2 linked regions of the Oryzias latipes genome follow. The protein of the gene in region 1 interacts with the protein of each later gene in a pairwise test. Links are inferred from orthologs where the notes say so. Each region holds a gene or a part of one and is shown in the gene's direction. Other genes may lie near its edges.

Evidence for each region.
Region 2: the proteins of c6h16orf70 (region 1) and bcas3 interact in binary tests that used the Homo sapiens proteins (3 or more experiments, as listed by UniProt). The link is inferred for Oryzias latipes from reciprocal best matches to the Homo sapiens genes PHAF1 and BCAS3.

Annotation. Positions count from the first base shown.
Region 1 is NC_019864.2:26,088,870-26,105,222, forward strand, and holds the start of c6h16orf70 (UPF0183 protein C16orf70 homolog), read left to right. Parts: upstream 1-6,197; 5' UTR 6,198-7,290; coding exon 7,291-7,354; intron 7,355-7,444; coding exon 7,445-7,527; intron 7,528-9,793; coding exon 9,794-9,877; intron 9,878-9,972; coding exon 9,973-10,016; intron 10,017-10,152; coding exon 10,153-10,232; intron 10,233-10,317; coding exon 10,318-10,412; intron 10,413-11,587; coding exon 11,588-11,652; intron 11,653-11,743; coding exon 11,744-11,856; intron 11,857-12,493; coding exon 12,494-12,627; intron 12,628-12,765; coding exon 12,766-12,849; intron 12,850-16,061; coding exon 16,062-16,144; intron 16,145-16,272; coding exon 16,273-16,316; intron 16,317-16,353. Other genes in the region: cbfb (core-binding factor subunit beta), read left to right, coding at 1,288-1,359. UniProt on the Homo sapiens protein: Plays a regulatory role in autophagic activity. In complex with BCAS3, associates with the autophagosome formation site during both non-selective and selective autophagy.
Region 2 is NC_019871.2:29,561,841-29,577,874, forward strand, and holds the start of bcas3 (breast carcinoma-amplified sequence 3), read left to right. Parts: upstream 1-6,129; 5' UTR 6,130-6,255; intron 6,256-7,039; 5' UTR 7,040-7,062; coding exon 7,063-7,133; intron 7,134-7,435; coding exon 7,436-7,490; intron 7,491-8,300; coding exon 8,301-8,376; intron 8,377-14,580; coding exon 14,581-14,687; intron 14,688-16,034. UniProt on the Homo sapiens protein: Plays a role in angiogenesis. Participates in the regulation of cell polarity and directional endothelial cell migration by mediating both the activation and recruitment of CDC42 and the reorganization of the actin cytoskeleton at the cell leading edge.

The DNA of each region.
Region 1 (16,353 bases):
GATCTGTAACAGCACATGATTACACCCCGATCCCCCCCCCCCCACACACACACACACACACACTTATGGAAAGCAATAAGTACTAACGGCAGACAACTTAAAGCAAATTTTGCTTTTATTTAATCAAACGCAAGACAAATGTAACCCCCATTTCTGGGATGAATAATAAATAAATGAACACACTCTTGGAATCAAAGTCCCAGCTGTGCTTTAAGTCACACTTTGCAGTCTAGACTAAAAGGAGACAAACATTCACCTTGAGAGTAGTACCATTTTCTAAAGGATTTACAATACAGCTCATGTCTGGGGTCTAAGGTTTTAATTAAATTAATAAACCCCGTCTTCTCCACGGTATATATGGGTACCATGTCTTTAGCTATATGCAAAGTGACCGCTTCGGTGATTGTTCTACACCGTGCACCCTTCCTAGGGATGGGTACCGAGCCCCGGTATTGAACGAGCCCCGGGGCAACATTCTTCAAGACCGCAGTATCGTTAAGATCTGACCTCAACGGTTCTGCTAACTGTACTGGAGAAGTCGCATTTTTTTGGTGTCCCACAAGATATAACCTAGAGCTGTGACGGTGTGGGATTTTTGATCACCGCGCTGATGAAGCAGCAGGAGTCGCGATCGATAACCCCCCCCACCACCCCCCGCTGCCGCCGCAGAACACAAAATACAAGTAATAATTACAACGCAGTATTCTTTATTAACAAATAACAGTAACAACTAACTACAAACTATCTAACTAATGAACTAACTATATAGGTGTTGTAGAATGACTATGTGTATGTGTGTCAGCGGGCTGTGTGTGTAAGAGGAATGAGCGCGTGAGCTTCCCACTCTCACCGGTAGCCAAAAATGCGCCATTACACAAAAACTCGATTTAGTTATTTTTCAAATTGCCCGGAACCAAAAATTCAAATTAATTCATTCAATCGATTTTTCTGCCTTTTTTCAGGCCTAGACTGAATACGTTTAGAAACTTCATCCAAAGACATTTTTGTCATTTATTGCTATGCTTCTGTTTTTAAAATGAATAAATAAACAGACATTAGTAGGATATTTAGCTCTAAAACATGAAAATTATTTTATGTCTCCTTTAAAAGGTTTATAAAGTGAACAACTGAGATGGATTAGTGCTAGTTTTAAATTTTTGAAAGTTATACTTCATGCAGTGTTTTGCTCCTGCTTCTTTCTTTTTTCTTCTGTCCGTGTCTCATTTGTCCCTCTCTTTCCTCTCCTTTTCTGCTTTCTTTCATCCTCCTATCCCTGTCTCTCCCCAGTCCAGACGACAGCAGGACCCCAGCCCTGGCTCAAACATGGCCAACGCTGACATGGAACACAAGATGCGCTGACGAGGAAGAGGAAGAGGAGCAGAGATCTACGGCTGTTCACTTTCAACACAATCAGCTGGAAGTCACGTGAAGCCACAGCTGCAGAATGTTTCACATTATGCTTCAGTAGGTTTAATGTGATCCTCTTCACACGCTGATTTGTTTCATTTGAACAAAAAATTGAACTGATTGAATTGAAAGTGAATATAAGCTTTGAAAAGAAGGACTCAACAGTAGGAGACCCAATTCTGCCCACATGTATAAGTGTTCAATTGACAGTTTTTATACACAAAATGATGATATCTGTTCATGGAAAGAAATAAGACAGAAAAAATATAATGGAAGACTTTAGGGGGGTGAGGAGGAGGAACTAGAAGAAACTGAAAAAGAAGATATTGTAGCTCAGGGTCACTTTCAGGTTTCAGCAGCTGAGTCAGCGTTAAACTTAAAGCAAAGGAGAAAACCTCCACCTCTGTTAATACGGCTGTGTGTCTGAGCTCACTGCCTTTTCTGAGACCAAAGTTTGCTTTGCTGGAAGAATGAAAATTTTGTTTCCACAACAAATTTTGAGTTAAAATAAAGAAGAATGGCTTACGCTGAGCTGCAGGGTGAAGAATTATTTGCAGTGATTTATAAATGTATCTGAAAACAGATTTTAGAAGCTTTAACTGCAATTCTGCCGCTCAGTCTTTGTCTCTGGAAGCATGTGAGGAAGCTCAGAGATCATTTGTCTTCCAAACTGCATTTCGGCAGAGCCGAAGCCTCACCCCCCACCCCTCCATTCTTTACAAACAAGCTCAAATTTTTTTTCATGATTCGTGAATTTTAGCACAGAACGGTGTAAAGTTACAGCAATGTTAACAGATGGAACCCAGTTGCTCGGTGATGAAGCCCAAGCCGAAACAACCGGTTGCATCAAAACATGCAGGAAACATCAAAATGAAGCTGTGTAAAGAGAAGATGCCTGTCCAGAACCCTGCATCGCTGCACGGAAGCAGCGCTCTCTTTCCCGCCCCGTCACAGCACCAGTGGAATGAAATGTTTCTGTGAGTTGGAATCCTGCTTTTGCTAGTGTGAAGGTCATGATGTTTACTTTTTGTCATCTTCTCTCCTCTGCGTGTGCATTCATTTTGGTGTCAGCTTTGAACAGCAGTCACACCTTCTTCTATATAAATCTGTTTTTTTTATTCTAAATTTCTCCACAAATTTGGGAGATTGGACAACTTTTTCTTTTTTGCTTGCATTTTTAATGTTATATTTAATGAAGATGCTCGACACATCATCAGCTTTCCTGTTTTATATTTTGTGACTTTCTGAAGAAGATTGTTTCTTTTATTTTGTTTATGAAGCTCAACGGTTTCATCTTATTGTATCCGACACATGTATATGTTTTCAATCTGATTTTGTTCTTAACTTAAAAAGCCAACAGATGATTTGTGTTTGTACGTTTATGACCACATGTTTGTAAAATTTTACAAGAAGCTTTGGATTAAACCAAAATTACAATAAAAAGTGAAAAATATCTGATAACTCAGAGAACGTTACTCTTTTTTTGACACAAAATCAAATTATTCCTGAATTGCTGCTTATTTCCCAAAATATTCCTGATGTCAATCCCACTGGAATCTACAGTGGTGCTCTAAAGTTTACATACACTTGTAAAGAACACAATGTCATGAGCTGTCTTGAGTTACCTGTTATTTCTGCAGCTCTTATTTTTCTCTGATAGAGTGATTGGAACAGCCACTTCTGTGTCATTAAAAGCACTTATGAAGTTTTGTACTTTTATGAATTTTATGGGTCCATTGAAAATGTGAATAAATCTGCTGGGTCAAAAGTTTACAGCTGCATGAAGGAGCAATTTTGGTGACTTAGAAAGTTGTGTCAATGACATGAGCTTCAAAGCACGGTCTCTTAGCTTCTTGTGAGTGACGTTTAACGCCTCGTGACTAAACAAAGGGCACCAATGTGAGTGTGCACACCGACGCGAAAAACGCCACGTGTCAAAGCGTCATTTTTTTAAAAACGCCTCGGGTTCGTTTTTTTGGTTTGACGCGCCGCGTCAAAAACTATTCGACCAATGAGAATGGCGCTTTTGCACACGTGTCTGGAGCTTCTGAAGTTACAGTAAAACAACTTGGGGGTGCTCAAACACAAAACTGCCTTTCTGAGCACACATACCAGCGAAGAAGATAGACGCCAAGTAGCGTCTACACTGCCGCAAAGAAATAATGACGGACATTCTAAAATATCCCCAAAAAAACGCTCATGATACATTTTCAGCTCTTGTACCAGTCGATAAAACTCCCCATGTTCTCTTCTCGTAACTTGGATGTACCCAAAATCGCGTCTTTTCCGCCGTCTTTCATCATTCAACAGAACAATAATTTCTTCATCGCTGGAACTGGAGCTGGAGCTCCTGGTGCTTGAAATATTCATGTTTTCTTTGTATGATTCTGACAAGCACGTAAATACTTGCTCTCTTCTTCTGGGTGAAAAGCGAGTTTAATAAGCGTAAAGTTGTGCAGCGCCACCTTGTGTACAGGAGTATTTCTGTTTTACATTAAGCGCCATCTAATGTCAGGGAATGAAATTGCATGTTCGCTCGGATCTTCGTCAGCGAAAATCGCCTGGGTGTGAACACAAAAGACGTGTTGAAAAACGCTGGCGAATAATGGCTGGCGAATATTCGTCCCGGTGTGTACGGGCCTTTACAATGGGAAAGTCAAAGGAGCTCGTCACACACCAGAGAAAGCAAATCATTGACTTGAACACATCAGGAATGTTCTCTCAGTATATGGGATCTGAACCAGGTCCTTTTCACGTTGAAGCAAGAGTGCTAGCCATTTCACCACTGGCATGGTATGGTAATCCAGCTCAGCACAAAAGGAACAGCTGGTTTGGTATATGTGCTGGACTGAGGAGCCAATGGTGCGAAGCTACAATCTGTGGGATCATGACTGAACGCCTCTAAGTCAGAATCCCGCCTAGACGTGACGATACTAGAGCGCTGCGGAACTTCGGTTGGCTCTGGATAGCCACCCTTGGCCGGTGTGGAGAGCTGTTCGTAAAAAAGTAAAACCATCGCTTTTTGATTTTCTGCAACATAATCATCAAGAAAAGATCACAAACTGTCAATGACCTGATTAACATGTGTTAGCTCAGCCTACAGATCAATTGTGCAGCTTTTACTACATTATATATTTGATGATTACAAAACCTAGTGCAACACTGTTACCTAAGTATGCAGGTAACAAGAGTTACAAATCTGTAGTTATAGTAGCTTTCTCTCTGGATTACAAGATAGTTGTTTAGATAACTATTACTGATGACTAAGAGGACAAATTTCTTTATCTAAATAAGTAAAAAAAACAAACGATAGTCTTAATCTGAATATGTGTGTACCAGGGTTGCAGAGGGCAGCATGATACCTTCAATCTAGGTTAACTGTTGTAAGACTATGAAAAATAGAAGAGAGGAGATACCTTTGCTCTACCCATTCTTTTGGCGTTGTAAACTAGCGCAACAAAGTGTTGACAAGAGGATAAAGGGATGTCAGCAGAGGGCTAATTCCCCGCCAACTGATCCACCCACAACTCTGAGGCAAATTTTTAATGAACTCCTGCTGCTCTGCGAAAACAATGTCTGTTTTTTTTTTTCAAAGACTGTTTTTCTTTTTTGCCAAAAAACGGCATAGTCATAATTAAAATACCTCTGGGAACGCTTTTACAAAGGATAAAAATATAGTTGGAGTGGGACTTTAATTTTTTTTTGTATGATTTAATCTGGACACTAGGGGGTGGGATAATGGAAAATTGCATTTTGGGGGATTCTCCAGGCTTATTTTCTATTTTTACAACTAGTGTCAAGCATTCTTTTATCTTAGGTTTTGTACATTTGAGTTGTGCCTGAATTCCTCCACTACTCACTACATTTTGTAGTGCTGTCTGAATCTACAATTCCAAATTCGAGTGCCCTAGAAATTTCCCAGAAGTCTCTGCGAAAAACCAGTGTGCATCGATGCTCACTAGATTAACGAAAATAGACCACAATGCATTGCGTCTAAACAATTTTTGCAAAAAAAAAAAAGAAAGTATTGTGGAGGTGATCAGGGATTCCATTATGTTTGTATGCTATTTGATTATGCATTTACTTGATTCTTTATATTCGTGTGTGTGGCAATAACACTTGCAGTCGCATGCTGTAAACTGAACGGGACTGGCATGCATCACCAGATTAGGAGTGTTGAGGTTTTTTTTCCGTGCTGTTGTTTATGGAACAGAGGCATCTGTGGATTGCGGACTAGAGATGCGGACACGACGATCCTTGAATGGCGGCAAAATCTACTGTACCTACTGACTTATTTTACATGTTGCTCTGTTGGGAGCAGAGAGAGCAGATAACAGCAGAGCTTTCGCCTGCTGGTGTCGGATGCATCTGTCATATCTCCTCTTTGCAATGGTTTGAACTTTCATGCAGAGTCTTGTCTGATTTATTTCTTTTCACACTGCACATTAGATCTTTGGTGTCCTTAAACCACCCGAATCCAGGAAAGCCATACGAGGCAGCAAGAGTGTTTAAATGTGTTTTATTCAATAAACTAACATTTTTATCATCAGAACACATTGGATTCATAAATGGTTATTGTAGATTAGATTTTCACTTTGTGGATTCTATGATGTCCTATTCACCATTAAAAAAAAAGTAGTGAGCATGCTTTTAAAATCCAGGGCACTTTGTAGTTTTTTTTAGTAGTTAGAGATTGACTGTGTCTTCCTTACAATCTTTAAGTCACGAATGAAGGAAAATTTGGTTGTGAGGGAGAAAATCTTTATGACGTCATCACGTCGGCCAAGGACGTGCGACGAGCACCGGAAGCTGTCTGATCAGCTGGTTGCTGCTGTTGTTGATGTGTGGACTTGTTTGGACTTGGTGTCCCTCTTCTCTGCTCGCAGCGGTGAAGACACGTCAAAGCTTGCGGTTTGGACACAAAGGACATTTACCGGCTTTGGAGTTCACGAGGAACGAAGCACGTGCCCGGTTGCTAGGACTTGTTTACTCGCGTGCAGCGACAGCAGAGCTAGCTTTTCAGAAGCTTTAGTTTGGTAAAACCTAGAAGAATAGAAAAGAAAACAGACCCGTGCTTTTGTCTCGGTCAAGAAATCAGTCTAATCTCCTCCTATGAAGTAACTGATTCTGGATTTTTTTTTTATGTATATTAACGCACTTTATTTTAGGGACTTGGACGATACGGCTAGCAGACGCTAACGTTAGCTCGACGAAGCTCGAAGAAAAGAGTCCAGGTTTGAAGCTTTCATAACAACAACCCCCCTTCTCTCCCTCAGACCGTTAAGGACCAGAGGCGGTTAGGGACGCTTCATCTGGGGCTGCAGTTCTTGCGTGTGCCGCTGGTTCCGGACACACAGGCATGTAGCCGAAATGTGTTCGCGTAACAACAAAGAAAACATCGCTTCAGATATCTCGCTTGTGAACAAACGGTGAATTTTTTTTCCCATTACTTATCTGGACTAATATTTTGAGGGGGTCGTTTTATTGTTTTTTTTTCCAATTATTTCTGAAAACACAAACAGCATTTGCTCGCCTGACAGCTGGTCTGGTCTGTTTGACTTTGAGTTTTGCTGATAAGTTGAGCAATCGCCTCCTGGCTAACTCGCAGGCTTCCTCTGTAAATACTAACTACGGTCATTGTGAATATCTGACCGCTCTGGCTCCTGTCTGTGGTGACGTTTCCACATCCAGGTCACATGACATGAGTTAGAAGGACAGGCTTTTGACAGATCGAGCAGCTACAGAAAAGCCGGTCCAGGTATGAGGATCAGCAGCTGCCTGTTGTGATCGGGCGCTGTGATCTGGGACAGACAGAAGAAGAGGGCCCCTCTGTGGCTCCTGTTGTGTCTTGAGGTGAGCGCAGTTGCCCCCATCTACTTGCCAATGCTGGATCTGGAGGTGGTCCCTGAGAGATCACTTGGAAATGAGCAATGGGAGTTCGCCTTAGGTGGGTGGTTGACAGTCATCGCTTTGTAAACAAACAAAAACAACATTTACAACTACACCTAATGTCTGCTTGTTTTTTTTCTTTTTCCAGGGATGCCGTTTTCCCAGGCTGTCTCTATCCTGCAGAAACACTGCCGCATCATCAAGAATGTCCAGGTGCTGTACAGTGAGCAGGTGAGAGGACTGAGTTTCTCTGTTATCCAAAAACATTCTAGATGAATTACATTTGCATAAGATTAGGACTTTCCCCTACATTTTAGAAAATTCTGTAAAAGACAATATTCCAATGAATGGTGTTTTCAGTGTTCTTAACATTTTTTATGCAGCATTTGTCTGATGTTGGAAGACGTATACTGGTTTATAAAAAAAAAGCTTCAAATTGCATTTCTGAGTATTTCTTTCTCCAAATATTTGTGAATCAGAAGCAAACAAATTAATGCAGATGGAAAATAATAATAATAATAATAATTGATACTTTATTTATCCCACAATGGGGAAATTCTTCTCCGCATTTGTCCCATCCCCTGGGGGAGCGATGAGCTGCAGCCTAACCGCAGCAGTAGCGTTAAGGGTCTTGCCTAAGGGCCCTCACTGGGTGATGTTTATTGCTCGCCATTGATATGGTAATTGACCCAGTACAATTGTTTATCCCCCTCCAGGAATCGAACCTTGAAAATGCTTGAATTGGTTTTTTTTATGGAGCCTAAACCCTGAGTTTACATATAATGCAGAGCTTTTTGACAAGTTTAACGCTAAAGCTTGTAGACAACTTGGAAGTGAACTCAGACAACAGCATATTCATAGTTAAAAGTCCACTGGGAATACTTTGAAAATAGATCAAAAGATGATCGGAGTGAGTCTGTAAATCCTTTTTGAACAAAACGTCTGTCTTTGTCATAATTTTTATCTTTTGTTTGTCTTTGGGGATTAAGTCAGTGTCTGTTAACTTCAGCTGAAAGTTTAGTGTGACCAACAGGTTCAGATTTTACCATGAAAGGAATTTGGTTCTGATCCAGTCATCATGTAAGCAGTTAGTGAGTCTGAAGACTTTGTAAAAGCCATGAAGGCGAATCAAGTCTTTGTTTTTAAGTCTTTAAAAAGTTCTAAAATGTAAATTTTGTTTTTCAGAGTTTGAAATGTTCAGCGTGTATTTTCATTTATTCTACACGGGTGTTTGTGTAAACATCCAAAATTTCGCCTTCTAAAAAAGTTATGGCAATTAACCTACCTGACCTTGAAAATGCTTGAATTGTTTTTTTATGGAGCCTAAACCCTGAGTTTACATATAATGCAGAGCTTTTTGACAAGTTTAACGCAATATGTCATCTAGTCTGAGGTTTAGACAAACCTGTATGAGCGGTATTTTCTTTAGGTCATTGGACAAAGCTGCAGCTCCATCACTGACTGTTTGTCGTACTTTGACACTGTCAATTCTGTGACCCAGAGAAAGATAACGCATGTAAAAACACTCCACCTTTACATTACTATAGCTCAAAATGTTCCAGCCCTGTTGCTTGTTCCTGTGATAGTATTCCTTTTTTCCCTTCTAAATGAAAAGTCTTGTTTAAGTGCACTTAAAGTCCATCTCCGGTCATCTTTGGATCTTTTTCAGAAGTGTTCCCAGTGGTCTTTTTATAATGATTGAGCTGTTTTTAGCACAACTCAATAAATTGGTGTCGTTTTCTAGGACAGTATCTGCAGAGCAGCTGTAGTTCATTAGAAATTCACCTCTGAGTTGTGGGCGGGAACGTCGGCTCGGAGCAGCCTTGCCTCCACCTTCCCCACCCTGTTGCTGAGAGCTCTCTGTTTACATGCTCTCCCACTAGTTTACAGCCCTCACACCCCCAACATAACATTAGCGATACAACAACAACGGCGAACAATATTGGAGCCATCCAGCCGTACAGTTTCGAGTCAGATTCCAGCTCAGACGAGGAAAATGAGATGAACATGGATCTATTTGTGGGTCTTTAAGTTACCATGTTGCATTGTGTTTTCTTGAGTAACCTGGTTTTCATCTAAACATAGAAATGAGGTTGGGAGAACTTTTATAGATTTCCTCAGGGAAATTGACGCTTCTTAAATGTTGTTACTCCTCATTCCACTGTCAATAGATGTGCCGCGTGATGAATGAGGTCGTGATGTCTATTAGGTCATGAAGGTGTGGGAAACAGGTTTCGGAATTGCACGTGCACCTGTTAGCTGATTTCCTAGGTAACAAGGTTTCTTTCGTAGACCAGTTTACCTGACTGCACATATGTACAGCCCGTGACAGCACTCAACGCCTCCTCCGGGCTTCAGTTTTCTGTCTGCGGCCTGGCTCTGTCCGGGTTGTTCTTCCTTAAAAACAGCAGTCAAGGAGGTTGTGAAACACTGACGGATGTGTTTGCCTGTGAAGGACCACCTCCTGCCTCAGTAATGACTGTTTGCTTCGCTGCAGACGCCTCTCAGCCACGACCTCATACTGAACCTGACTCAGGATGGGATTAAACTGCTGTTTGATGCCACAAACCAGAGACTTAAGGTGAAAGTCTAAATACTATAAACTCTGAGCAGCGCTGCAAGCCTTCGGCTGTGACTACCTGTCCTTTTTTAACTGTTTTTTTCTTTGTGTCAAAGGTGATCGAGGTGTATGACCTCAGCAAAGTCAAGCTAAAATACTGGTGAGATCAAATTCAGACTCCAAAATTAAGCGTGGGCTGTGGTGGAGCGGGGAACCTTACTGCATCTTCGAGCTTAGATTCGGTCTGGACTCGGCCTGCTGGAATGATAATGGATGTGATGTTGTCTTTGTTTTAGTGGAGTGCATTTCAACTCTCAGGCCATCGCCCCCACGATAGAGCAGATAGATCAGTCCTTTGGAGCCACGCACCCTGGAGGTAACTCAGCTGACGCTCAGGTCCATCTGTGTTTGATTTCTCCTCTCCAACTTTGTTGTTGCTCTTTTTCCACATCTTGGTCCAGTTTACAACCCCGCAGAGCAGCTGTTCCATCTCAACTTTCGTGGACTGTCCTTCTCCTTCCAGCTGGAGTCGTGGAACGAAGCGCCGAAATATGAGGTGAGGGAATCTGAACGACCCCGTTGGAGTGTTGTGAGGGTCAGACAGGAGCTTTGAGTGATTGGGCTTTGTGGTGACAGTCTAAGGCTGAGTTCTGTGCATGCGTGTGTGCGTATGGCTTCATAATCTGCAGTTATTATTTCTGTGCATTTAGTTTTTATGCTGAAGACTCAATTTGATAATATTGGCTGCTTCAGACCAAAAACAAACCCATAATAGCTTCTTCTGGGTTTCATCTTCTACTTCTGTTTTAAAGCCAGACAGCTTTACTTTTATTTGGAGGCTTCGTTTAAACGCAGAGACAAGTCATCGTCTTCACAGAGCATTAAAATAAATGACTATATTAAAAACATTGGAGTAAAAAGTTAATAGAAGAAATATTGAAGTCTTTAGAAACATTTCTTAGATTTACCTTTTTATTAGACGAAGAAAAACTTTTTTTTTCAATAAATGGAGGCATTTAGCTTTTTCTTCTTTGTCTTATTCTTTTGTTGTTGAGTATAAGCTATATTCAGTAAATACATGCTCTATAAATACAATGGAGAGTCTGATTTCTCTAAGCCCATGACTTTGTGCTCTTTCGTTCTTTCATGTTTTAGTTAAAGAAGAGTTCATGTCACAGTGACCTATGCCAACATTCACATTTCACCTTCACAAATGTAAAAGCCGTAAATCTGAGTCATCGTTTGGTCTTGTGGAATAAAAGTTACATTTTTGAAGTGATTTTAATTCGAATATAAAACCTCTCCAGTAGGGCAGCACGATATGAGGAAAAATATTAGTGATCAATATTGTGATGACAATATAACCTGCGGTACATGAACAAACAGCAAAACAACTACGGTACATACATCATTTCCATTTCACTGCAACAGTTTAATTTAAATGAGTCAGCATCATTTAAATGATACTCTAAAAGGACCCTCGTCTACGAACATCTAACATCAAAAGGGGGTCAATCCGATTGGTCAAATGCACAAATGGATTTATCTGATTTGTTAAATACTTCAAGCTGCCATAAGATTGTTTTAGCACATTTAAGGATTTCACCGTCTTTTCCGATATGTGTGTTGCACAGCTAGATATCACGATAAAAGTAAATTTAGAAAAAGGTTTTTATTTTTGGATGAAATCCGGTTTGTTAGCCTGGCCTAACTTTCCTGGCATCCATGCAGATTCCACATGGAGCCATGGTTAGGAGGATGCACATCTACACTGGCAACAACCTGCAGGAGACGAGGTGATCATACCACAAAAAAAAAAAGAGAGTTTCAGAGAGTGTCGAGCATTTAAGAGGAACTAAGAAACTAAAGCTGTGTTTGGGTCCTCAGAGCTCCTCCAATGCCGCTGGCTTGTTTTCTTGGAAACATCTACGCTGAGTGCGTGGATGTCCTGAGAGATGGGGCGGGTCCTTTGGGGCTCAAACTCCGCCTCCTCGCTGCAGGTAAACACGTCAGTTCAGAGTGGATGACACAAAATGTTCCTTCATCATCAAGGTTTGAACAAGTGAAGCGGTTTGCAGAGGGCGCTGTAAAGATGGAAGAAAATGTGTAGAGGGCAGAAGATATTATGTTTAATGTTGTGATGATTATTTCTTGCATTTTGGTAAACAAAAACATGTCGGTTAACAGGGATGAACCAACAATTATTTACTGAATTTGTTTCAAATTATAAACCCAAAAAGAGAACAGCTTCTTGGGTAGTTTGTCCTGATAAACGAAAGAAAATAAGATATTTAAAGAAAATAAAGTTTACAAAAACACAAGACCACTGAGAACATTATGTAAGTAAAAAAGAGCAGCAAACAAGTAATGTGGGTGTTACAAAAATGAGATTTTTGAAGAAAAAACACACTTTTTATAAAGTGATGGATTTTTTAAAATCTTCCAAGCAACAAAAAATGTAGTTAGTTGCTGTGAGACTGTCAGTCTTTAATGCACTGGTGGCTGTCATGTGTCAAATGTTACCCTCTTTGTTCTTGGTAAAACAACATTGTTGTTCTAAATGACCTGACCTTGATTAGGAGGACAGGCATTGGAGCTTGAAGGTCTCACTGCTGTGGGTGTGTTGGGTCGCTGCAGGCTCGGGTGTCGGGGTGATGGCTGACGCCAAGGTCCGGTCAATGGACAGGAGCATCTTCTTCGGAGACTCCTGTCAGGATGTCCTGGGCGCTCTGGGCTCGCCCCATAAAGTTTTCTACAAGTCAGAGGACAAGGTGGGAGCGCGTCGCCGTCGCTGGTGTCTGTCACTGCAGCGGCGCTTCATTACAATGCTGTCTAACACGGGAAAAACTCAACTTTTCCTGTTTTTTTTTTGTGTGTTTTTTTGTGTTTGGCCACAATTTGACAATCAGATGAAGATCCACTCTCCATCACCTCACAAGCAAGTTCCCTCCAAATGCAACGACTACTTCTTCAACTTCTTCACCCTGGGCGTGGTATGTAGCTTCTTTATTTTGATCTGCTGTCTGTGGGAGAACGCCGTTTGTGATTTCAACACAGTAATTTGTTACACTTAAAGCTGGACTCAGATTATACTCATTGTTGAAGCGATTCTAGCTGTCACGACAAACGTCTGTGTTAGCCGGGAATTAAATCTGAAAGTGTGAGCCAGCAATTGTTGGGTAGTTCATTCTTCCTATGATACATGTTTGGTTGTTTTTTTCATTTTTCTAAAGAAAGCAGAAAATTATTGCAGTTGAGTCCTTTGAAAGTGTCAGAAATGGATCAGCGGTCTCTGTCAGCAGAAGAATGTTTTAGTCGGCGACCTTTAAACACCAGAAAATATTTAGGAAAATCAGGTCTGGAAAAGCAAAAAAAAAAAAAAAAAAGCTTTAAAAACACATACAAACTTTGTGTCAAGCGCAGAACCATTTTCCTATTCATTCACGGTTTCATTCACGGTTTAACAGGAAGAAATCCACCAACAGTCATTTTCAAGCACTAATTCTCTGGAAACACACGACAAAAACTACAAAACTAAAAACTTCACTATGTGTGGGTTTAACAGGAAGTAAGATAGGTCCTGACAAAGATCAAAGGGAAGTAGCTTTAGAAATACTAAATAAAAACGTTCTGTATTTGTTTTCAAATGGAGCAAAAATGTTCCACCTAACCAAAAACGGTCTTTGGCTACGTCCAAATTCGAGGCCTGGGTCCTTTGTGGAGCGGATAGGCCGGACGTTAACGGCTGTCAATTTGGACAAGTCTAGCCTTTAGATAATTCCAGCCGTTACATCGGCGAATGTCCTGTCACCTAGCAACCAAAAGTCCTGAACAGAGAGGAGTAGTGAACGAGGCATGGAGCTTAACATTTTCCTGGCTTACTTGATCCAACTTTTAGTCTTGGAGGTGTAATTTAAAAAGGTGTATTATCTCCAACTCCGTCCGGGTCCCGCTCCACAGTCCGCCATTTTTTCAGAAAGTCTCTGGGTTTCGGCCGCAATGCAGCTTGGGATATGGACAGCATAGAAGGATACACCCGGCCGCGTTTAAAGGAGTTGTTGAATTTGGACAACACTTGTCGTGGCGCTGTAACGTATGCAGCCTGCAAAGGCGGCCCAGGTAGAACCCAGCCCTCCAATTTGGACACACCCACAAAGATTATCATGCAAAGAAGTTCAGATCATCCATCCGCTGAGGAGGCCTGATAAAGATGCAGAAAACATCTGTATGAATGCTAAATCAACTTAAGAATGCTTAGAACAACGAATGTTTGAATATTGAATGTTTTGGAATAATAAAAAAGTGTAGACAAGAAAGTGATGGTGTCTTTCTAAAACATATGTATAAAACTGCCTAAACATGCTGTTTGTAATTGGTTACCAGGGTACACTGTGGCACAAATAGCCTTTGCAAAACGGTTATCAGGGCTGCTTAAAAAGATTATTGGTTGTTCTCAACCCTCCTGTCCTTTTCTCACTACATTTGTAGAGCAGAAAAGTTTAAAGGACTGTCATCACACATCTCACTTCCTCGTTCTACCTCTGCCTTCCTGAAGGCGCCACAGAACAGTGTTTTTCAACCTTTTTTCAGCCAAGGCACACTTTATCCTTGACAAAAATCCTGCAGCACACCAGCATCCAAAAATTAAGAAAAGGAGAAACTCTTAGTCTGTATTGATCTACAGTCCCTCCGCAGTTTCACATGCATTTTTGTGATAATTGTGGCAGAAAAAGCTGGAAGTTGCAGCTGTTTTTTTTTAAAAGTTGTAATAAAAGTTAAGTTAGTTTTCAGTAATAATTTTCAACTAAATTATTTGAAAATTTTCCCTTCAGTTATTAACATGCAATTTTATGTGACCTCACAAAAAAACAAATATGTTCTTTCTAAATAATGATTTATTTTTTTTAATATCTTTTTAAATGTCGGTGCAAAGGCAACTGTAATTTTTGAACAATATGATCACAATATGTTTGATAAATTTTACACAAAAAAAACTAATATTATAGTTATGTTTTCTGTAGCTACACAAAAAGTGAGCAAGTTTTTTCACTTGTTCCATGGTCTGACACCGGATCCGCCTTGGAAAGCTACACCGCTAAAGACGAGCTTTAGCTGGTATTTTTGTTGGAACTGAGAGACTTTATGAGCAGAATCAGAACAAGGAAGTGAGGACTTTACCCACTTCTGATTGGTCAGACTGATGACATGTGATTAAGCCTCCAAGAATGATTGGCGGAGACAGTTGAAGGGGCGGGACTTTTCCAAAAAAAAATCGCGGTACCACCATTCTTATCAAAGTGTCTTTAATAGAATCAAATAAACACAAAGAAAAAAGTATTTCATGATCTTTCATGTTCCTAACTACTCAGTGTTTTATCAGGGCCTGTTTAGATGAACACAGAGCTGATATCCTGGAGATGGAAAATGTTTTTAGATCAGTTGATGAGGGAAATTTCCCACAGCACACCTGAGCGTCTCCCACGGTACACTGGTTGAAAAACCCTGCTATAGAGGACCTCCAGGTTTAATCACAGCAGTTCAGTCATTACTGACTCAGTATTCACCACTCTCATTGATCTGTCTAAATGAATGAGTAAAATAAGAAATAATTATGCCAACGTCAACACAGTGTGGAGCAATCTTTAACCTTGTATGAAATGAATGGAAAAAGGTGAACAATGATAAATTAAAAAAGGTAGTAAAGCAAAAAAAAGATGCTAAATTAAAGAAATGCATAGATGTTGGAAAAAATAGAATTTAGGCCTATTTAGTTTTTTATCAGATGGTGTAAAGAAAAGTGCTGCACGCTAAATGAAAGGGCTACAAAGAATGTTTCTGGTGTTTTTATCGTGTTCTTGTAGCATTTTTTTGATGACGGATGACATATATAATGAAAGTTAAACTCAAAATTGCATTTCTGAATATATTTTTATTCAAATTATTGTGAACGAGGAGATGAGTCGATGAAAAAATACAGTCAGAAAATAATGGTATTTGTCGACTCCACTCCACTCCACTCCGAGATGATGCCTGCCTGTTATGATGATCGCTCTGTCTACTTTTATCCAACGCGTTGAAGAAAGTGACAAAATTCCTGAGGAACGTCTCGCTGAATGGCTTTTATCTGCAGGAGATGAGACTCGTAAAGGCGTTTCTGGAAACAGTCAATCAAACCCAACCCTCGTAACGATCATCTTTTCTTTAGGATATTCTTTTTGACTCAACAACTCACCTGGTGAAGAAGTTTGTTCTCCATACCAACTACCCAGGACATTACAACTTTAATATGTAAGTATCTGAGCTCTTCTTCTTTGATATTTTCTTTTTTCCCTGCCTGCTTGTGTCCTAATGTTTCTCTAGAATATCAGACACGTCTTGTTTTTCTCTCATGTTTTTTCACTGCTCTCTTGATGCAGATATCATCGATGTGACTTTAGGATTCCTCTCATCATCAAAAAAGGTGGAACGATTTGAAATCATGAGTCTGATCTGGACTG
Region 2 (16,034 bases), on another chromosome or scaffold:
TGTTCAGAAGCATGAGCATTAATACTGGTCAGTGATTTAATTGAGCTATTCATGATGTCAAGCAAGAGGTGACGCTACACTGTCTGCAACAGACCTCTTTACAGGACAACAGGCTCACAACAAACAGACACACAACAAACTCAAAAGCACACGTGTTACAAACAGCAGGGAACTGCTGTCACAAAAAATGAGATTTAGGGTGTGATTTAAAGAGAACACGAAAATGCCTACTCAATGTACAATGAGAGTAGTAGTACAATCACCTCAGAGCAGGCATTTAGACTGAAGCACACTCCGGACCAGCTGCAGCAGACCTAAATATTCTAGGAGTGTGTCAGTGCTAAAGCTCAGTGGGATTGAAATGACTCAGGCCATGAAGAGATCTGAGAAACAGAAACTTTTCGAACTAAATCCAAGATGGACAGGAAACCAGTGAATGGAAACTAAAATGGAAGTGATGAGATGGTGTTTAAAGCTACTAGTTAAATGAGCAGCAGTGTCAACTGCAGAGTGTGACAGTAGCCTATACAGCTAGAGATGTGGCATTTAAAAACAGAATTTATGGCTAGTAAAAGATTTTGTTGTCTTGTGCTTCGAAATTGTAAATGGCGTATACTCATGTAAAGCTTTTCTGCCCCCATTGAAGGCCTAAAGTGCTTTACAGTGACAATTCCATTCACCCATTCACACACTGATTGCAGTTGTGTTACACTGGCGCCAACCTATAACCACCATGAACGATGTGGAGTTCAGCGTCTTGCCCAAGAACATTGCAACACATGTGATCTTCCAAAAAAAGTTCGACCACTCCACCTGTGCACCACGAGTTTTCCATCCTTTCTGGGTCATGGGGCTGCTGGGGGTAACCCAGCTACTGTTGGAGAAAGGTGGGATTCCCCCTGAACAGGTTTGTTGCTTACACACACTCACATCTAGGGGCAATTTGGAGATCCCAGTGCACCTATGAAGCATGTTTCTGGACTGTGGGAGGAAGCCCACACATGCACTGGGAGGACATGCAAACCCCACACAGAAAGGTGCCAGCTGGGATTTGAAGCAGTGAGGGAAGATCACTGTGATAGAGTTTGAACACTGGAGGGAAATGCTTGTATATTAGCTTCCCTCAACTGAGCTCCAGTCAGAGAGAAAGGCAAGAAGCCAGTTCCTCGCAGACTTTTCATATCGAAGGTTTACAAAATTTGAGAAAGTGTATGGTTTTAGCTTCTTTACTCTTGTATGCCAACTCTGCCTTCTCGCCTAAGCATACATCTTTGCTTTTTTTCTACTCTGAGAAGGTTTTCTTTCCTCACTGATAGCATTTCAGCTCATATACGAGCACCTGTTCCTCCATCTGCCCCTTTCACCTCTGCTAGCTCAATGCAACACCTGCTCCTCCAACATGGCTGTCTGTAGTTCAGATAGACTCTCTCTACTGGACCTTGGAGGATACAGTACATGTCCTGTAGGTATGACAGCACTATTCTGAGAGTCTGAGACTTGAAAAGACAGAAAATTTGCTTGACTTTGTTTCCCCACATGGCTGCAGTGAAAGCTGCTCCTGGTCTGTATCCCCCATGTTGCTCCAGTGTCCTCAACTCGATAGGTTGGGGGCGTGTAACTCCTGGTAAATAACCAACTTCAAAGTTTTGAAGAAATGCTGGCAGCAGTCTCTCTGCTGAAGTCTAGAATGCACCACTGTATCTGCATAAGGTTGTTCTGACGCCATTTACACTCCATAAAACTACAGATCCGGCTCAAAGGACCCTATGATGGAGTTTGAACAGTCTGGAGGGAAATGCAGGCCTAATACCTTCTTTTAACTGAGCGCCGGTCAGAGAGCAGAGCACAGAGAAGCCAGTTCCTAGCAAACTTTTAATGTTGAGGTTAAAGGTTTACAGGATTTGAGAATGTGTGGGACTTTAGCTTGTGCACGCAAACGGCAGCAACAATATGAAGAAGTGCGGTCTCAAACAGAAAAATTACTCTGAAAAAGAAAATTACCGTACTTTGCTAATACATGAAAAATTAAATACCTAAGAAATATACAGTACAAGCTCTAAGTACTATCCCACCGTGCAGCCCAATAAGAGTTTTCCAGTCTCCAAGAAAACTCTCAAACAACGGTTGTTTGACTAAAGTTATTTGGCACAAAAGAAAATAAAAGTGAATTATAAACTCTTTCACACCGAGTTACACACGGTGTGCACATCTAGATAATTTCCTTGGTTTGATACTTTTTCTGTGATCTACTTTCATCAGGAAAACATTACTGAGAAGCAGAGCATCTGCTGTGCAGAGGAAATTTAGTTTTTGAAGATATCTACCAACTAGAATACAAGTATGCTGATTTTAACTACTTTTTGTTGAAGCATGCTAATTTGAACTTCTAATTTATCTTTACTGAATTTTAAACAGACTAGAGGTTTTATTATTCTTTTCTAAATGAGAACTTCAGAAATCTGCTGTTTAGAAATAGTCTTTTTTCTTTTTGCGGTACTGTGATAAATTTTAGAATAAAATTCAACCAGAAATGGATTTGAGCTCATGCATAAGTCAGGACTTTTTGACCTTCTGGAACGATGACTAAAAAGTGACGTCGAAATTCTAACCTATGTGGTTACGTTATAGATGATCTTTGCAGGTATGTGCACGGCGCAGTTAGTTGAAGGTTAGTTTGTTTTCAGAGAGATGAAGCAGCATGCCGTGTCCATTTGAAGATGATTTAGTGGATGAAGAAGCTCAGATCATACGTAAGAGGGTGTGATAAGACCACGTATCCATGTTTTAAAGATAAACTTTTTTACTTTGATCTAACTTACTTATTTGCTTCAGTTAAGATAAATCATTTTTTTGAGTTGAACTTAAAAATAGCACGTAGCTATCAGACATTTATTTTACTTTCATTCAAATTAATCCAATTAAGTAGGTGCAACTTTGGTGCTGCTGTTAGATTGGCAGCTCAAGGAATTGTAGGATACCATTCCCTTTGCCTGTCTGAACGGATTTGGGTTTAAGTGCGGGTTTTTGACCAAATGGACACACGGTAAAAACCAAGAATTCCCTTTTTTTCCTTAACAGCAGTTTTTAAGCTAAATGTTTCCCCACTAATATACCCCTGGTATCTATTTGAACCTTAACTAGTATTTTTGTTTTTACTAGTTTTAAAGTTTTTTGTTTCCCCTTATTTTACCAATGTTAACCATTAACATAAAACCCAGTTTTCTAGAAAAGCCTAACCCTATAGACTATTTTTCTGTAGTTTCAGAGAGGTGATGGAGCATGCCGTCTGCATTTACTGGAGCCGTGACGTCAGTGATGAAGAAAGACAGATTCCTTATTGCAAATGAGTTGGTGCAAACATCTAAACCATTTAAACCATATAACCATTTATATTGAATTTATTTTAAAAAAATGCTAAAGGCTGCAGAAGTCTTGTGCCCCAAAAAGCAGTTAACCTTTCCCAGCATAAGTCTGTCAAGGATTACCACTGCAGATCCAACATCTCTGATGTGACTTGGGCGCCAAATGAAGGAATCCAGTCATTTTTTGGATGTCGCTGTTGATGAAAGCACCGACATCACAAATAATAATATTAATAATAATAACAATAATAATAATAATGATAAATTCTTCTCCACATTTTGACCCACTAAAGCAGTCTCTCATTAATGTAGTCACTACTTAAACCTATTAAGCTTTAGTCACAACTGCCCTAACAGGTGGATACGGGGTGTGTCCAAGTGAAAAATGGAGGTCAAATCTTTGCAGGGCACATAGGTGGTCCGTACAAAAACTTAAGCTTGTAGACCCCAGTCTATGAAAATGTTCATGCACCTATTTTGCTACGGGCAAGCTGTGGGCGACAGGTCTTAGCAAACACTTAAGCAACACATAAAGGGTGAATTTGGTGAGATGCAGGTGTGTTTTTTTTTTTCGACCCCCTGAAATCCTGCAGACTGCCCAGTAAGCCCGTTAGTGCTGTTTAAGTGTCAAGCGTGCACTCCTTCCGTAAAGCCTGATTTTTAGAAATGAGGAAACTAGATTTTCCGAGGGTAGTTTGTGTGGACATACAGGTGTCTTGCGGGCACTTGCACATCACCTGCACACCCCGTGCGTCATTGCACACAGTCAGAAAGGAACCACTGCACGCACCTCAGTAACTACTGGAGTGCTGTGGGTGCTGTTCAAAAGCATCACTCGTACGTCATGGGTGAGTGACTTGCATTATCTTTACCAATATTTCCCAATAATCTTAACGCACATACGACAATGGTACATCCCATTTCCAGAAGGTAGTCAATTAACCCTTGTGCTATCTTAGATGACCCCCCCCCCCCCCCCTTACATTGACGTGTTCTCCCTACCATGACAAAGGTGGATAAAGGTGGAAAGATTTCATGTAATCCATGGACACCAGTGAAGATCACAAATCATTGAAGGAAAAAGGTTCAGAGCACTGTCTAGTGGGTCTAGATGACCCCACACCCAATGTTCACATGCCTAGGATAGCACAAGGGTTACGCCTGAAGGGAACAGCAAGACCTGAACCTGCGCTTCTGTTAAGATGCAGCCCCTGCTCTCTACAACCCTGTATGGGCCCTGACAACCCAGAAACTAGCAGCACCTGTATGGATGTTGACCTTTACGGGAACACGTGACAAAGTTTTCAACTTATGGATGTTTCACTTTTAGCATGGGAGCTTTTTCATGACTTTTTGTAAGTTTAATTTTATGTTTATTTCTTTATACTAATTATATGTATATTGGTCCAACTGTATATAACAAAATGTCAAAAAAACAACAACGTTAAAATCAACTTTTATGTACAATTATTACATGAAAAATATTAGTTATACTTCTTAGACATTGAACTTACAGCTAATGAAAACTTATTACTTAAAACCAGAAAGAAATATACATAATTATATTATACATGATTTTGATTCTGATATAAAAACTGTTGAACCTGTTTGTCAAGGACTCATGGTAAAGAGCTTCCTCTAGCAATTTGGTGCATTATGAAATACACCGTCATATGTGTCTGGCATTTTTCTTTTTATGCTTTCAATTCTCTGTCTGATTTAGGTCAGATGAGTGTAACCAAACTATCATTGACTGGAGATCTAGTAAATTGGATGCTGTGCTTGTCCTCTCTTTCTTCAGACTCTGTAACCTTAAAAAAGGGGAAAATAATTTATAGAAATATTTAAATATTAAATATTTTCAGTGACAATACTACTGTATACCACTGAAAAACAGTCCAGTTCCTTTTGGGGCGGCCGTGGTGCAGCGGTAGGGCGGTTGACCCTTGATCAAGACACTGAACCCCACTTTGCCTCTGGTGGGAGGTTGGCACCAGTGTTAGGGAGCAGAGCTGCCATCAGTGTGTAAAGGTATGTGTGCACATGGGTGAATGTGAGGCCCTTTGGACCATCAAGTAAGGTGAAAATTACGACATCAGTATATGCTATTTACCATTTATGAAGTCATTTTGGAAAAGCAGTTTACAAGTGAGATTCAAAGAAAAAGCTGAGCCAAAGCAAACCACTTAAAGTTACCTGACCTGAGGAAAAGTGTTCCATTCATAGAGTCAAGAATTATAAAAACAATGATTATTTTCCAATTTTGTGCAAGAGAAATTACAAAATGAGGAGATGGTTATATCTTCCATGTGCAATGTCAGTAGAAACTAATAAGTCTGCAGTCTTTCATGGCTTATGATGGTTAAAGTAACAGACGATAACCGATGGAATATTGTTTTGTGTTTTAAATAGTTATCTGATAACACTGTCAAACAATAAGGTTGCAAGAATGAACTGCTTTCTTATAATAATGTATACAAAAAAGGTTTGGATCTTAATTTATTTGTTCTGAAATTAAGAAAAGCATAAACACTGTACCTGACAATGATAAATCTACTTACGGTAGATCAATCTCTGTAAAACCATCAGACATTTAAATCTCTTCACCTGTACCAGAAAGATTTTTTTAATCCTCCTTTAAACTTCATACACTGTCTGTTATTTTTATTTATTTTATTTTTTATTGTTTCAACTTAAAAATATATGTATCCAGACGAAATGAAATCGTCACACCCTCTCAGCATTTTGATTGGATTGACGAGGTTGTTGCTGTTCTCTGATTGGCTGTCTACTCACAACACAGTTCCGCAAATACAGTGCATGTTTAGGTTTTGTACTGGCAGCTCTTCCAGCGGACAACAGTCCAAACCGAGAACCGCTTCATTTTCTAAAGGTATTGCCGTCTGACACATTCGTAAATGTCGAACGACAGGTTTGCAGTGATGTTGTTGAATAAGCAGCGGTGCGTTTGGAAGCTAGCTGTAGCTAGCTGGGTCTGTTGGTTAGTTAGCTGCTGGGTCCTGTCTGTCTCTCTGCTGCCAGCAGCTGGGTGTTTTCAGCTGACAGATGCCCGGGTTGGTGCTCGAGCTGCCGAAAGTGTAGGTTTGGAGAGGCTTAGTTCCGGAAGCGTTTTGGGGGTAAAAAAAAACAAACAAAAAAAACAGGCATGTCAGGACTTTCGTCCAGTAGTGGAGACGCTGTCTCACTCAGTGGATGACAGCAACGTCATCCACGTCACACGATACGACGTGTCTTTGTTTTGGTTAACTTTTGATTGTTTCCACATGAACGTCTGTCGAAGATTAGGTAATAATAATGATAATAATAATAGGACAGAACGCAAGTGTTGATTGGCAATAACCAGTTGTATTTGACTTCCATCCTAAATGCAGTAAACAAAGGCTCTTTGCTAGCAGAACATGGTTTTTGAGTCTCCCAGCTATTAAATAAAAGCAACCATGTATAGATATCTATACTTTATCATGAAAACATTTCAGAGGCTTACAAATGCTATCGTGTTTTAAGGCAGAAATGTGGTTAGTGCTTCTAAAAAGGTTGCTTCTCTGAAAAGATCTGTCACAGAACTTAGAGTTTCTTGAGTTGAATATTAGGTACAAACCATGACATCTTTCTGGAGTTGTTTGAATCCTCCTTATGATTCCTTTCTGGCTTTTCAGAATAAAGAAAAGAAGCCACAGAGATGGCATCGGACTCTCCACGCAGACCGAGTCGCTGTGCTGGAGGAGTTTTGGTGCGAGCACAAGCTGCAACGTAAGAAGAAACTTTTGTTATCTAGAAATCCATGCCATTTTGTTGCAGTGGCTCCACTGATGTTTGTCTTCAACCAGAGTTCATTATATTTAACTTTAATCTGGAGTGTTTGTGTGTCTTGTTTTATGTATAATAGGCCATGCATCTGTTTGTTGCTCAAACGCATCAGCTTTAAAGCATTAGCACTGCAGGGGCTTGATAATGAGACACAGACATTTGAATTTGGTTTTCTTTCCTTACAAATCCAGGAGTGAGACTGGTTTTTGGGACACCTGCCAGATTAATTTTCCTTTTTTTGACAGGGAACAGTCGTACATGGAAAGTGTTGTGACCTTTTTACAGGATGTTGTCCCACAGGTAATACACAAATACTACTATTGTTATTCATTCACTAATACACTTATATTAAGTGTAAGGCATGTTTAGGATTGTGGGTTGTACTAACATGAATTAGGATATAATTTGCTTACAGTCACCTACATGAGAATAACAGTCTGCAGCCTGGAAAATGTCAGGTTTGGGTACTACAAGTGTAAAAAATAAACATCCTATTATTAGCAGCTTTTGGCAAATACAGCTTTGCATAATTGTCTGTATTACTCATGCATTTTGGACACCAATGTTAAGCATCTTTCTTAAGCTTCCTTCTGGAACTATGCCTCAGTTTTTGAACATTTGCAGTCATTAATTTACGCTCTGCTCTCTTCAGGTCCCACCACAGATTTGTTGGGTTGATGTCTAGACTTTGACGTGATTGAAACCATTTTCCCCACTTTCTGTGGTAGATTTTCCAACTTTACTAAAGCAGAAAGCCTGCATTTCCATCTCCTTACCATCTCTGGTGTATTTATGAATACTAACCAATGACAGAGCCTACAATGTAGTTCTTTGTAAAGCTTGTACTGCTTACAATGGGATGTTACAAGGTGGAAAGTATCACACCTGGCTTCTTTAAATCTCACAAAGGTGTTTCATATACTGAGAAATAATAATCTAATATCAGTGTTTGTCCATTTTAAAAACATGCAAAGACTATGACTTTGAACTCTTCCATTGTCTATCCTCTCTAACCTATAGAAGAGTTCACTGGATCACAGTATATCATTCAGTTTTTGTTGTTATATGGCTAATAAATAAAATGAAAACGTGTATTTCTTCCTTTTGTAGGCCTATACTGGTGCTGTACCCTCTGATGAGAAAGAGAAAATCATTTGGATTCGGTTTGAGAAAGCTGACATCAATGGTAAGTGTTAAATAAGCCGGAGTGGACAAGCCCTCTAACGTGTCCAGGGATCAGCCACACCACAAAAAGGAACTAGCCATCACATCATACATGCTGGAGACTGTGCTGCCCGTTACATGAGGATAAAGCTACGTTCGCAACAAACGTGGTTCATGTCCATTTTCAATGCTAAGATAACATACAGACGTGATCAAAGGTTGGCATGTTATGGCTGTGTGGCGGCAGCGCAACACAATGTTTCCTGGCTGGGTAGCTCGGTTGGTAAGGTGAAAGGCTACCACGCAGGAATCCAGGGTTCGATTCCCGGAGGGGAATCAACAATGATAACATATCAATGGCGAGCAATTAACATCACCCAGTGAGGGCCCTTGGGCAAGCCCCTCCCTACCTCTGTGAATGATCCCGGTGTCCATTTATACAACCGTAGGCGCTAACTGGCAGCCACTTTTCATCACCAAGTGTGAATGAATAATGGACACAATGGAAGGGCTTTTAGCATCTGGAAAAGCGCAGGTAAATCCATTTTGCGTTCCGTAAATCATCCAGGAATTCAGCTTTGGCCCATGACGTGTTCGTGATATGATCAGCGAGCGAAGTGAAAACCATCAGGAGAAGCTGTAAGCGCTCCACCCGAACATTATTATTCTATTCTTATTTGTGTGGAAACAATAATATAGAGGTCCACTAATTTGATTTTTTTTTTTTTTTTTTACATCTTTTCCCACCTGGTGGTCAAACTGGGTCACAGAGAGACGGAAGTACCGCTCTCTCAACATCATCCTCGTTTTGTGCATTGACTATGTGAGCTGCAGTCAATGCTCGCGTGTACCGATGAGGCAAAACAAATTGACTGACGGTAGCTCCTTCCACACGTCAGCAGTGTCAAGTTTATGAAAACAGTTTTGGCCAAGTGTCGAGCAATTAAATTTGACACGAGTCAAAAGAGATTCAGCGGATGTGAATTTGACGTGTGAACCATGTTTGGTGTGAACTTTGCAGAAGTCTTCAGCTCCTTGTCAGTTTGTGTGAACATCCCAGAACCAGTGCACTGCTGGATGTCTCCTGATTAACCAGGGGAAGAGAATTTGACCTTTGGGTTTTCATGACTAGCCTCATACAAAAGCTTGTCTGGCAATCCTTAAATCATTTTTTTCCACCAAGTGATACTTGACTGCATACATGATCCTTTTTTAAAGTCCCCTTATGACAATTTGTTAAAAGCAAAAATGTTCCCAGTAGGGTTGGGCGATGTCCCCTAATTTGGCGTTGACGATGTTTGCTGTCAACCATCGGGATGGACGATGACATCGTCGGGGGGGGGGGGGGGGGGGGGGGGGGGGGTATTTTTACATTTTTCATACTTATATAACTGCTATTCGTTATTTTGCTCTTTTCATTTTATTTCCCAACTAATGGTTAATCCGCGATGATCCAGTATAAACTGAGGGAAGTGACTTTAACAGAAAAAGTAACAAGCAAAATAGAAAATTAGTGTAGTCGCTCCCGCACTTAATTAGTGAAGTGGACCGGCGGAGCGCGGACTTAAAGCTTTGTGTTTGATGGGAAGGGGGGGGGGGGGGGGGGTGGGGTACATGAGCGGTATGTGTGGGAGATTTAAGACTGCGATCCGTCCCGCAGCTCTAGGGGTACAAGCAACCGAACTCAGAACCGGGTCTAAAAGTGTGTGTCTGAGCACAGCTCGGATCGTCAGCACACACACACAGCGGTTTGAGCTTCAAAGCAGAAATGTCGCTCAGTCCTTAGAAAACATTCAAACAATCACGTGGATTTGTGTTTCCAGTCGTGTCCCGACTAAATAAAGGCTGATGTTATTCTTACATGTTTACGTGCAGCGCCACCCAAAGCTAATGTGTTAGCCCGTGTTAGCATACTGCTAATCCTGTCTCCGTTCAGAAAAAGCACTGACCACACGGATTAAAATTCAAATGATGAGCGAACAGGTGTTTCATAATAACCGTAACATTATTAAAAGCACGTTTAGAAGACCGTCTCATATATTACCGAGCTGACATGTCAATATATATAGCCGCTCGGTGCTGTTATCGTTTTGTATTGAATTGTTACATTCAATAAAGTTTGGGAAAAAAAACGCTCGGCGGAAGTTGTATCCCCTTCCGGTTTTCAAACTGCGCATGTGCGAATGATTTATTCCTACCGAAATTGTGACCTTAGTGAACGTTTTTATATTCTGAACACATTTTTCTGGGCCCATCTACACGGTTGGATTCTAATCTGACCATTGATCCCATCAAGATATTTTGTACAGGTAACCGCGGCTTATGGTGTCGACGCGCAACATGGCGGGGGCGTGGCATCACGATGGTGGTCTCTCCATCGGGATGTCAGTCACCCATCACGATGGACGATGATATCGTCCATCGGCACAACCCTAGTTCTTATGAAGATTGTGATGATTATGAAGTTTTTAACCAAAATCTCACAACCTAAATGTCTTAAAAAGTCATATTTCCTGTTTATCTGAAGTCCCTCTTTCCAAAATCCCCTCTACATGGGCGTGGCCATTGGTGCTGAGTTGGGTAGCTCCGCCCTTTCTGATAATGATATCTGTCTTGCATGAGTGAAGAGCTTGACACAAGGGGGGGGGGGGGGGGGCACAAGAGACACTGACCAACACTCTCTATTCTCAAAAGTTTCTCTTTAGTTATAAAGAAACTGTGAAAATTGATATATTTTTGGTTCCAAATCAACACTTTGTGAACAATGTATAGAATAACAAAAAAAATATGTGTACCAGACCCAACTGTTTGATAAAATGACACATAAAAAATAACTTTAATTAGTCCATGAAAAATGCTTTGAATGACATTATAATTTAGGCTACATTGCAGCAGCACTGGCTGTGGCTCAGAACTGATTTGATGCACAAGCAGATTGTTGAATCACATTTCACAGCAAATAGAATGAATTGCCATAAAAATAGTGGCCATTTACACGTTATTTTCAAAATATGTGCGGCCAGTGCTGAGCTTTTTTAAGTTTAGGGTTAAGTTTAGGATCACAGGTTACGGTTAAACTGCGCTCACAGTGAAAGCGATTCAGCGGCGCGATTTGAGTGGCGGGTGCAGTGCAATAGTATCAACAGTTGCCCAACAGTACCCGTCCCAGCTACTGTTGGGTGGAGGCGGGAACACCCTGGACAGACTGTGGCAGGGCGGATGGAGCTGGAGATGGAGATGGAGCCGATCACTATGCCGGCTCCCGGGAGGTGAGCTGGCGGCCAGACACAGATCCGATGCGGGATGGGGAGCCGTGCTCTGCCCTCCAGAACTTTAGGATATTTCTCCTATCCCCTAATTTTATCCTTGTTTTTATTTTTACCCTCTCTGGGTAATACTGGACAGCAAGCCTTCAAAGTTAGAGAGAGAACAGCAATGTGGAGAACACATTTGGGATTTGAACGTGTGGCCAACAACAAAATCCCGCCTGGGACACACTTGGTATACGTGCGGGGAATGCAGCAATGTGCCACCTGAGCTGATGTGCACAGCGGACAGGGCAGATCGGGGAGCTTGTGCATTGCACATGCGCTCCTGGGCCGTTGTGACATCACAACAACTCGTTAATTCAAACCGAGTGTATTTGCAGCACTTTGATTGACAGCGATTTAAAAGGAAAAAAACTCGTAAATCCAAAAATGAAATGGATTTTTTATGACATTTGTTGTCTTTTATAAAGAAAATGCCACACGTACAAGTCAAAAACTCAAAAAACATGATTTTCAACCTGGATAGATTCCTGGATACGTTTGATTCTGAAAATGAGAATTATTCTGATCCCAGCTGAGAGCAGGATAGGAGGCTGATCTAGTACCTGTTTCTCCTTTACCCCCCCCTCCCAAAAACAAAAAAAATATGAAAGTTGCAAGAAAAAGATGCACTGCTAAAATTTTGTGCTGCAATTGTTGAATACTGGTAAAATTTCAACATGCTTTCTCAAAAGAAAGAAAATCATGCAGCTCATTCATCATTAAACTGCTGATAGTAAGTGACTTATTTTTACTTCTTGTTTGACAATGGTTCATTTTCTTTAATCAGAAAAGACAATTTGAATTTTTCATCTTTTTATTAGAAATTAAATTTGTAGATTATCTCAATACTGAGATCAACAATACAGACACATACATCTATTAACAGAAAAGCAGCTTAACCTCAGAGGACACTCAAAACAGAGACAAAATCCAGAATCCTGTTTTAGAAGTTCATGAGTCAAAGGGCTCCACTCTTGTCTGAGGAGTTGTTGAACATTTCACGTTTTGTTTAAGGTGTTAAAATGTGGAAAAGGCAAATACGAAGTACAGTAGAGACTCATCAGTTCACACACTTACTGTACATCGGCTCAACATTTAAATAAGTGTAATCGAACACATGAACTCCTGCAGAGAAGCAGGTCTCTCATGCTCCACAGCCTCAGACCGGCGACGAGAAAACATTTAAATGTGTCGGTTTACTGCACGGTCACATCTTTAAATAAACCAGACAGAAATGCACCTGGAAAGAAGCAGAGAAGAATTAAAGGGAGGTTTTGTTAGTATGTTTAAAAAAAAAGGGAGTCTCCTGCTGAATCAGCCAGATCGATTGAGCAGAAGCACGAAAAGTTTGATTTTTTTCATGCTCTTAAAGAAACTACATTCTCATGGTTAGCACTTCTTATTTATAGGCTCTTCTTGATCCGGGAGAAAGCTCTGCCTTTTTCCATGTTCTCTCATCTTTCTGATTCTTTCGGGTCATCCCAAAATCCCCATTCAAGTGGATCTAGGTGATTTGTTGTGATCCAGCTAAGTTTTGAAATACCAAGATGAAAATGTCTGATCCCCGGAGTCGGATCAGAGGATTTGGTCATTTGGATCACTTTAATCCTGATCCAAAGTTATGAAATACTGGGCCTTGGTGTAAATAAGATATAATCAAAACACAGTTAAGGCAAATTAGCCTCACTGGTCCACATAACAATTTTAAACTAGTTTAAACGATTTGAAATATAAAATTGTAATTTTTCTTTTGTTTTTTGATTTGTGTGGTGCCTTAGGACAATCTTTGTTAATTCTGTATATAACTAACATATAATATATAGATAATCAGCTTGTGGCTGAGCATAACCTAGTCATCAGATGAAGATGGCTGAGGGCTCCGTTTTGTAAATTCGTGGAACCTGATCAAGACGGATTGGTGCAAATGTGGATGTGTCCGTGGCTATTGGGTTTGTTTTTGACCAGGAGGAAAATCAAGGTTCATGTTGTTTGACAGGACAGTCCAGTCAGTCGGAGAGCTGGTTACAATCGACAGTTGTCTCTGCTTAAGGCCTCAGAGTGACACGCAAAAGCTAGATGGAGAGGGGAAGATCCAATTACCATATGTAGATGTGGGAATTAAAATCCATTAAAGGAAATGTAGAAACTCTATGATGTTCTTCTTCTTTCAAAAGTAATATTTTCAAATATAGTTTTACATTACAACAATCAAACAATGATGAACAAGGTAGTTTATTATATTATCATATTTATCTATTATTAAATACATGTTACTATATAATATTGCATGTCACTTTTATGTGGCCGTTTTAAATGGCATTCACAAAAATTTGCTGAAAAGATTTTGCAGTTTGTCAATCATATTTAGTTGTCTTTTTATTTATTTTTCCTGCTGATAGACATGGACCACATAGGCTGAATCCAAATTCATTCCCCACCCCTCCAGCTTCTCCTTACCTCCTACATTTATCCCTCCAAGCAAAGAAATATAGAAATATAGCGACTTCAAATCCGGACGTTACCACCACTTGATGACGTCATCTACGTTAGTGCGTAGCTGCCAGCGCTCAGAAAATACTAAATATCGGTTTTATAACTTTAAAAAGTCATGCAGAGATCCTATTTGTTTAATAGTAACATCTGCATCTAGAAACATAAAAAAAATAGTTTATTGATCATCACTTTAAACTTTTGATGTTACGGAATTACTGTCTAGGATTCGGGAAAAACAACCTTAAAGATGTCAAATTAAAAAAAGCATGGAAATGAGAGGGACAGAACAATACATGCAGCAGCAATATATTTATAGCAACTGTTTTCTTGTTACCGCTTTTTATTGCTGATAGCTCTTTGTGTTACCTTTTTTGGTGTACTTCATACAGAACTGTTTGTGACTGAACATTCTCTGCATGTAGACACTGCTCGAAACCCGGAGTTCATAGAGATGCATGGTGGCACCTCAGACCCCCCCCTTTGCCTCATGATTGGTTATTCGGACGGGATGCAGATCTGGAGCCTATCTGTAAGTCTTTTCTTTCTTTTTTGATGTTTGAATAGTTTGTGTGTGTGTGTTTGTTTGTAAGTAAATGCATAAAAATACATTTTATCTCTATAGGTTCACCATAGATAAATGGTTTCCTGTTTTTTTTCTTGTGCTCTTTATTAAGTAACCCAAAAGTGAATGTCCACTAAAGTAACTGCTTTCTTTAGTTCTTAGGCTCATTGTGTTTCAATCTTTCAATGTTTTACACTTTTAGAGTCATTACATGTTTAATTAAAAGGGGAAATTTAAAGAACAGTTTTTTACCTTGTGTTTTCATCAGCAAACTACGTTTCAGATGGTCTCGTATGTGAGGCATAATGTTTTTTTCTCTTTTGTTTACTTTGCTCTGCCTCTTGAAATATATCAGTTTTTTGAGTAGATTCGTAAACAGCATGTCTGGACCTGTTAGGACATCAGCCAAGTGTTCCCTGATAAAAATAGTTTCAAAAAAGCTTCCAACGTAACTTAAGGTGGACTCATGGTGAATGAATTCTTCTTCCAGCAATTAAAACATTTCTTAATTCAGGAAAAAGGATTCATACGTGAGTGCTTGTTGTATTCCAAACAATTTCAGCAATAAAAACGAGGAAAAAAGACATAAAAAATAGTATATTAAATCTGTTTAAGTTGTTAGGAGATGATGCTATTTTGACGTTACAATTACTCCTTATCATAAATAGACATATTTGCATTTATACTGACAGTAAACTTACAACACAGTTTTTTTTTCCATCAAACATAACGAATATCTAATAGTTTGATTATTTGCTTGAAAGTGGAAAAGGTGAATGGTCTACAAGACATTGTTCCTTATAAAATGTTTTGTTTTTGGACAACTTTGAGCCGGATCTATCCAGATTTTTAGATAAAACAATGTTTGTAGTGCCACCTTCTTCCACAAGGTGGTAGTGTTGATCAGGCAACGTATTCACTTCCACTGAGAGATGTCAGTACAGTTATATCATCAAAGTTAAAGAAAAACTGCAATAATACGTAATGAATGCCAGTCAGAAAATAGATCTTCTAATTCCTCAAATTTGTCCTGAAACTTTGACTGTTTTATTGTTTTTGTTTTGGTTATCTTTATATTAATGGCTTTCTTAGTGTATTGTAGCAACTTTACCTTCGTAGTATACACTTATGACAGAGGAAAATTCAAATACAGAATTTTAAAACATTGAGAGACTATAAATACATGTATTCATATTTCTTATTGAATTGTTTGCTGGTTAAAATGATTCTATACTCTGCCCAGACAGTTGAGCCATTATCTGAATGCACCACATTTTGTCTGACACACATTCATTTTCTAAGTGCTCCCAGCTT